2 linked regions of the Astyanax mexicanus genome follow. The protein of the gene in region 2 interacts with the protein of the main gene of each other region in a pairwise test. Links are inferred from orthologs where the notes say so. Each region holds a gene or a part of one and is shown on either strand. Other genes may lie near its edges.

Evidence for each region. The genes of interacting proteins can lie anywhere in the genome.
Region 1: the proteins of trip6 (region 2) and neu4 interact in binary tests that used the Homo sapiens proteins (3 or more experiments, as listed by UniProt). The two-hybrid records come from large-scale screens. The link is inferred for Astyanax mexicanus from reciprocal best matches to the Homo sapiens genes TRIP6 and NEU4.

The regions. Positions count from the first base shown.
Region 1 is NC_064411.1:41,214,182-41,217,939, forward strand, and holds the start of neu4 (sialidase-4), read right to left. Parts: upstream 2,500-3,758; 5' UTR 2,436-2,499; intron 76-2,435; 5' UTR 48-75; coding exon 1-47. UniProt on the Homo sapiens protein: Exo-alpha-sialidase that catalyzes the hydrolytic cleavage of the terminal sialic acid (N-acetylneuraminic acid, Neu5Ac) of a glycan moiety in the catabolism of glycolipids, glycoproteins and oligosacharides.
Region 2 is NC_064415.1:18,461,388-18,465,145, reverse strand, and holds the start of trip6 (thyroid receptor-interacting protein 6), read left to right. Parts: upstream 1-968; 5' UTR 969-1,044; intron 1,045-1,077; exon of another isoform or gene 1,078-1,199; intron 1,200-3,758. UniProt on the Homo sapiens protein: Relays signals from the cell surface to the nucleus to weaken adherens junction and promote actin cytoskeleton reorganization and cell invasiveness. Involved in lysophosphatidic acid-induced cell adhesion and migration.

The sequences.
Region 1 (3,758 bases), on a different chromosome or scaffold from region 2:
TTCCGGAACAGCACTGAGCGGGCAGGGAAGTAGGACGAGGATCCCATGGTCCAGCGATGGTCATCGGTGACAACACTGAAAAACATATACATAAGATTTCTAAGGCATGAGGCACTCAAAGTTTTAGCACCACCTCCTTGTCTATTATACAGCTCTGGAATAAATTTAGAGAACACTTCAGTTTCTGTATCGTTTTTTTTAATTTTGCTATTTATAGGTGTATGTTTGAGTAAAATGAACGTTGTTTTATTCTATAAACTACGGACAATATTTTTCTCTAATACCAAATAAAAATATTGTAATTTAGAGCATTTATTTGCAGAAAATGAGAAATGGCTGAAATAACAAAAAAATATGCAAGAAAAACAAGTAATTCAATTTCATACTTATAAAGTTTTAAGAATTCAGACATTTTTAATCACAGTTTTCATGCATCTTGGCATGTTCTCCTCCACCAGTCTTACACACTGCTTTTGGATAACTTTATGCTACTCCTGGCGCAATAATAAATGGGCTGTGATCATCCATCTTCCTCTTAATTATATTCCAGATGTTTTCAATTTAGTAAAATCAAAGAAACTCATCAAGTGGTCTCTTATTTTTGCATTAATAGCTGAGTAACATACTGAGTAATTAATTGTTAATACTATTTGTGATTGTTTTCCACCACAAGAACATTAGTGAGGTCATGTACTATTGCTGAATGAGCGGTTCTGGCTCTTTAGAGGTATGGTGTCTTCTCCCAACACACCTGATTCAACTAATCAGCACATTACCAAGCCCTTTCAGAGCTGCAGTGGGTGCTTTAAAATAAAGAATATACTAAAATGTGTACTAGGCAAATTGACTTTTGTCTTGGGTTATCAGTCAGTGAAGCACCTGTGTTTTTCACCGCCAAAATACAAACATGCCAGAAATGTATCTGAACACACCTCACTTCCAGATCACTACGCCCTTCAGTGTAGATTTATTCCTAAACTCCGACACTATTTTAACTACACGGGCACAATGCGTGAAAACAGACCTTTGATAGAGTATGAAACAAAAAAAGGAGCATCGCGACGCACCTTGCACAGGGTGTTTGATAGGACTCTTTGTCTTTAATTTCTCTTAACTGTGATCAACTGATATTTGGTATTTTGCAGAAGTTGTTTTGGAAAATTTCACCACAAGGCTTTTCCTGTGTACACAGTCTGAGCGTGAGGACCAGTGTGTCTGGAACAGTCAGAGAGGGCATGATCCAGCAAAAAACGAGCTGCCCCCAACACACAGTCAGCATTCTCTTTAAAAAGAGGAGGCTAGCACAGAGAAAAACTGGCCATGTATATCTGATTTAACAAGTTTTTCAAAACTAGAATGTACTATACGTTGTTAGAATAAAATATTAATAAATCAGAAAAATGAACATTTCTTTAAAAAGCATTGCCACAGCAAAAATGCAATACAGCTATGTATTATATATTTACTGACTCGCTTTCCTGTAGCTCTCTGAAGACCACAATGTCAGTATAAAAGTATAAATTTCAGTTGCATTTAATAGACATGCAGTTGAATGTTAGTTGAATGTTAGTTAAATGTTGGTTGAGCATCTGTAAGTAAACTGATGGACCATCCAAATTAAATGATACTAATTATTTTTTTCTTAAGTTTCAAGTTTGAGTTTTCTTAAAATCACTCAATACCTAAAATGTAGATGATCCTGTAACTAGTTTCATTAATTAAGTAACTACAGTTAATAATTTAGTATTTAGTTATTTATGTATGAAAATGAAAGTTCCCTACCATAAATACTTAATACTAAAGTTATTCATACCTAATACAAAGTTTTCAGGAAATGCACTGTATTACTCAGCACCTACTATAAATTCCTCAAAAAGCAATTCATTATTATTATTCGCTACCAACCCTAAATAATACACCTATGATTAATATACATTATTATTTATATTAATATTATTATTATTTAGATAATCTAAATAATTCAGTAACTATTATAAATAATGGATTATCCTTTATAAAGTATTTAGGATCTACTACAGTATTCATAATTATTATTTATTATACTAAATACTATTCTAATACTATATTAAGTAATTTAGGACCTACCTTACCTTTTCTTCTGTGAGTACTAAAGATTACTCCCTTTTTACTATACTGTACTCAATTATACAAAATTTAGTACCAACAATAAATAATTTATTAGCTACAGTTATTAAATATGTACTAATAAAAAATCAGTAAACACCTTAAATGATTCAGTAACTAACTATAGATTAGTTGGTTGTCTAAATATTCAGTAAATCTTTAGAAATACACAAAATACGCAAATCAGCACCTAAGGAACCAATTACCGGCACAATTATGGATCATAATAATAGAAAAAACTACATAAATCTATTGTATTTATGGTACAGAGTAAAAAGCAGAGTACTTACACTACAGTGGAAGATACAGTCTGTAACACACTGTCTGTTCGTTTGACGAATGTTCGAGAGTGAGATATCGAGAGCGTGTGAAATTGTGGGAGTGTGATGTGTAGGGTGGGGGGTATAGGGGAGCTTGGTGGGGGGGGGGGGGGGGGGGGGGTGAACATGCACAATAAAGGCATGGTTCGGATGACCTTGTGTATTAGGTAGTGGCCCATTCAGTGCGCCGCACGCAGTTTGTGCAGTGACCCAGAAAGGAGCTCGACTCATCAAAACCACTGCATCCAGTGAATCAGCTATAAGCAGCTATTGTGTGTACACCAATTATCTCTTCACAATCACTTTTAGTGCATGTGTGAGGGTGTGTGTGAGAGTATGTGTGAGTGAGGGAGTGAGAGAGATAGAGAGTGTTAAAGAGATGCAGAGTGATATAAAAAGTTTCAAAATGCAATGGTGACAATGCAAAAACAGATTTAAATGCATGCACAGTTCTTTGACACGTATATTGTTTTTTCATTCACAAGAAAATCTGTAAAAAAAAATAATTTACAGAATCTACATTGCAATAAAAAGGTTTTTATGCACTACATATAGACACAATCCGTATGGTTTGCATAATTATTGCATTAATTTAATACTATAAATCTATTTTTATATTCTAATTATAGTGAAACCCAGTTTAGTGCTACATCAAGTCCAGTTATGCATTAATTTTTAATGTTTAATATTTTTGAACCATTAGTTTTATTAAAGAAACATTGAGGAACCATTTTAGGCTGTATGTTTTATATAATGGTAAGTTTATTTTTATGTTAAATGTTTTGTCTGATTCTCTGTCCTGTAATTATATTTCTGCAAAGCTGCTTTGCGGCAACACCAGTAAAAAACGCCATGTAATTAAATTTGTTTAAAATTGTCCACGCTCTTAGTTGATCAGATCATTTGATTCTACCCCTTCAGGATAATGGCTTGTGTCAAGAGTTAAGCTCATCTATTATGCCTAAATCAAAATAATAATATCTTTCCAAGATGGAGCTTCCTTCATTAATCTAATCTTCACTAAACCAATTCAGCCTCATCCCCAAATGGTAAGTAAGGAGATTTTACTTAAATTTAAAGTTTACATCTTATTAAAAAAGAGTATAGGCTATAAATATTAAATATAGTTTCATAGTTTAGTAGATTTTTAAATCTAGATTTTTGTTCTGCATTTTGGTCAGCAAAATAGCTATGTCCATAAAACTAGCTAGAACTGCTCTATAACTTGTGGCAGTTCAAATGTAAAAAAAAAATTAAAAATTGTTTTTTAATCAGTACTTTCTACATTTAGAA
Region 2 (3,758 bases):
GGCCAGCACAACCCCCCACACACACACCCCTTACGTCACGAGTTTGGTGCGCTTCCCAGCGTATTTTTTACCCACCCGTTTTTGACATGTCCCTTGTTCTGGGCTCGGATTGGCTGATAGTATTCCTCGAGCTGAGTTTGGATTGGCTAGCAGCTTATTTTCATAAATTTTTTTTCTTGAAGACATTCGCTGCTAAAAGATATGGTTATTTTCCTAATCAATACCTGATTACTAATATAATTAAGGAAGTGTCATATAAGCTTGTATTGTTACATAAAATATATCCAGCCAAAAGCTTTTTTATAACATTTACGCACAATTTTGAAACAGATTTAAAATATAATTTTGGAAAACGTAAGTGCTTATGTTATTTTAAAATGCATGAAATGTACTGTCTGGTATATTTTCTGTCTTTTGCTGAATTACAGATATAAATATGCACATGCATATTTTAAAACATTCTTTCTCTTTATATATTTTATTGCTGTCTAAAATGTCTACTTGTCTAGCGTGTATTTATTTTGTTATATGTGCACATTGGAGCCTGGAGAAACCTCCAATCACGTTTAACTATGCATTCCTTGCTGTATATTTTAAGTAAGAAAGAAGTAGAAAAGTTCATTTTAAATTTTACTTTGATATATCATACATTTTATATGTTTTTAATGGTCACATTTTAAATAATTATTAATTGTAATGTTTCCAGTTAAAATATATTTTGTTGCTTTTGAAAAAGAGATGAAACACTATATTAAATTAATACAGCCCTTTTCGAAGCAAAAAGCCATTTTACAGTTAAATAAATCATGTTTATTAGCCTAGCAATATTATTAATAATTGTGTATTTGTGTGTATACTATTATTTTCTATGTATTATGTTTGATTGTAATGGATAAAATTAAATAAAAAAATAATAATAATAAAACCTGGAGCGGCCAATCCCAGTTGAGGGGGCGGTGTTTGTCTGAAAACAGGTGGAAAAGGAAATAACGCCGCTTCTCCGGGGCCTCTGGCACACAGTCACACGCAGGATCCACGAAAAAAGTAGGTTACAGGAACTGAAAGTACTCAGTACTTCAGACACCTAAACAACTTTTATACGGGTAGCTAAACAGTCGTGACCTTGTCGAAGACGTGGTGAAGTGAGGCGGGCCGTTTTCAGCGCTCTTTGGTGTGACAACGAGAGAGGATGGCGCTAGGTTAGCTCTAATGTTAGTCATCTAACCTAGCATGAGCTAGCATAGGCAGACCAGCAGCACTGTAACTTTTTCTTTTAAGGGGACAGTGGGGACAGGAGGCTATTAGTGATTCAGTAATGAATTTTAATTTAATCCTGTTTTGTGTGCACGCTAGTGGTTTATCATGCTCCAGTCCAAAACACAGATGTCTTCTTCTTTAAGCTTCTCGCCTGAAATGTTTAACCTAGCTACCAGATTTAGCTCATTTTAACTAGCTACGTTAAATAGTTAACCTAACAGTATTTTGTAACACAGTCCGACACAGGGCAGCATCTTCGTCCCTTAAAGTTCAGGATCGTGAGCTGTAGATTAACTGTGTGTGTTGTGCAGATGAGAGGCGAGTCAGGCCAGCTGTAGATGAGCTGGATTAGCCAGCACTTGTTTTTGAAGAGGTAGGGTAACGTTAACGGAAATCAATAAATGCTCCATTGTTCCTGTTTTCTCCGCAGCCCTCGCACGATACGCTGCGGGTTTCGGGGAAGCTGCATGGCTAATTATTCTGTGCTGAAACCTGGACGTGTCGTGTTGGTTAAGATTTACTATAGTTTACTATAGTCTAAACTGTAGATAGATAGTTAGATAGCTAGGAGTGTGACACTGGCCCACTTTGATTCACCACTGCTTCGTTCAGTATGTTGTTTACTAGCTTGTGTCCACCTAAAAACTAACATTCTCTTATTAGTTACACGTCCAGAACTCGGCCCAACACTCCTCGGGGTTGAGTTTGCGTCCGACAGGGTCCAGGCACCAGCCTAGTCCGCCTGAGCACGCCAAACCTTCTCGCAAACTTTTACAGCTAACGCTAGTTAACAAGCTATCTAGCTACCTACCTACCTAGCTAGATAACTAGCCAGCTTAATGTTAATTTTAAGTTATTTTTCGTTTTAACTAGATAATTATTGCTCTCTTGTCTTTTATCTAGCTATATGATACAGTTTAAATTTCTCAGACATTATTTATGTCTAGTTCTGACACCGGTATACCGTGATGTTGACATACCGTGATGCTGCTCTTCGGTAACAACATATCGGCTAGTAAGCTAACCTATCTAACTAGGTTGACTCGGTTACTGTGTTAGGTTAACGTTACTTGGTTAGTTAGCAGTAGGTTATATAGTTAGCTAGTTATCTATGATAAAGTGACAGTAAAACAGTAACGTTAGCATTTGTATGACCAACCGCCTTTTCCACTCTTCTAAACACTATGGGGCAGCTTCCTCCGGACAGGGAGTAAGCCTAGTCATTAGTCCTATCTGAAATCTCATTCATGGGGGGGATCCTCTTTGATTTTATTCCAGTCCGGGAACGACCATGTACGTGCTTTTCCCAAACGTCTTCTGAATTACTTACTGTTTTTCGCTGAAATATTTAGTCCCCACCAGACACAAATCTAATTTTCATTACCTCGCATTTTATAAAATAGTTGTCCACTGCCACACACTGTCATTACACTTCGGCCGTGCGTTTCCACGGAGATCCACTTAAACAATAGCGAGTGGAAATAGAGGAGCTACTGAACCCGATGTCACGTGACTGAGAAAGCCAAAAAACTCACCGGTCCTCCTGTTTATATATATATATATATATATATATATATATATATACAGTGCCCTCCATAATTATTGGCACCCCTGGTTAAGATGTGTTCTTTAGCTTCTCATAAATTGAGTTTTGTTCAAAATAATATAGGACCACGATGGAAAAAAAGAGTAAAATACAACCTTTAACTCAAGTGAATTTATTCAGTAGGAAAAAAATCCCACATTAAGAAATAATTATTTAACATCAAATCATGTGTGCCACAATTATTAGCACCCCTGATGTTAATACTTTGTACAACCCCCTTTTGCCAACAAAACAGCACCTAATCTTCTCCTGTAATGTTTCACAAGATGGGAGAATACAGAAAGAGGGATCTTTGACTATTCCTCTTTGCACATTCTCTCTAAATCATCCAACGACCTGGGTCCTCTCCTCTGCACTCTCCTCTTCAGCTCACCCCACAGGTTTTCAATGGGGTTGAGGTCTGGGGACTGAGATGGCCATGGGAGGAGCTTGATTCTGTGTGCGGTGAACCATTTCTGTGTAGATTTGGCCACATGTTTAGGGTCATTATCTTGCTGAAAGACCCAGTGACGACCCATCTTCAGCTTTCGGGCAGAAGCCACCAGATTTTGTTTTAAAATGTCCTGGTATTTTAGAGCATTCATGATGCCATGCACCCTAACAAGGTTCCCAGGGCCTTTAGAAGAGAAACAGGCCCACAGCATCACTGATCCCCCGCCGTATTTCACAGTGGGCATGAGGTGCTTTTCTGCATACTCAGCTCTTGTGTTACGCCAGACCCACTTAGAGCATTTGTTGCCAAAAAGCTCTATCTTTGTTTCATCTGACCAAAGCACACGGTCCCAGTTGAAGTCATAGTACCGCTTAGCAAACTCCAAACGTTTGCGTTTATGATTGTGAGTGAGAAATGGTTTCTTCCGTGCATGCCTCCCAAACAGCTTGTTGGCATGTAGAT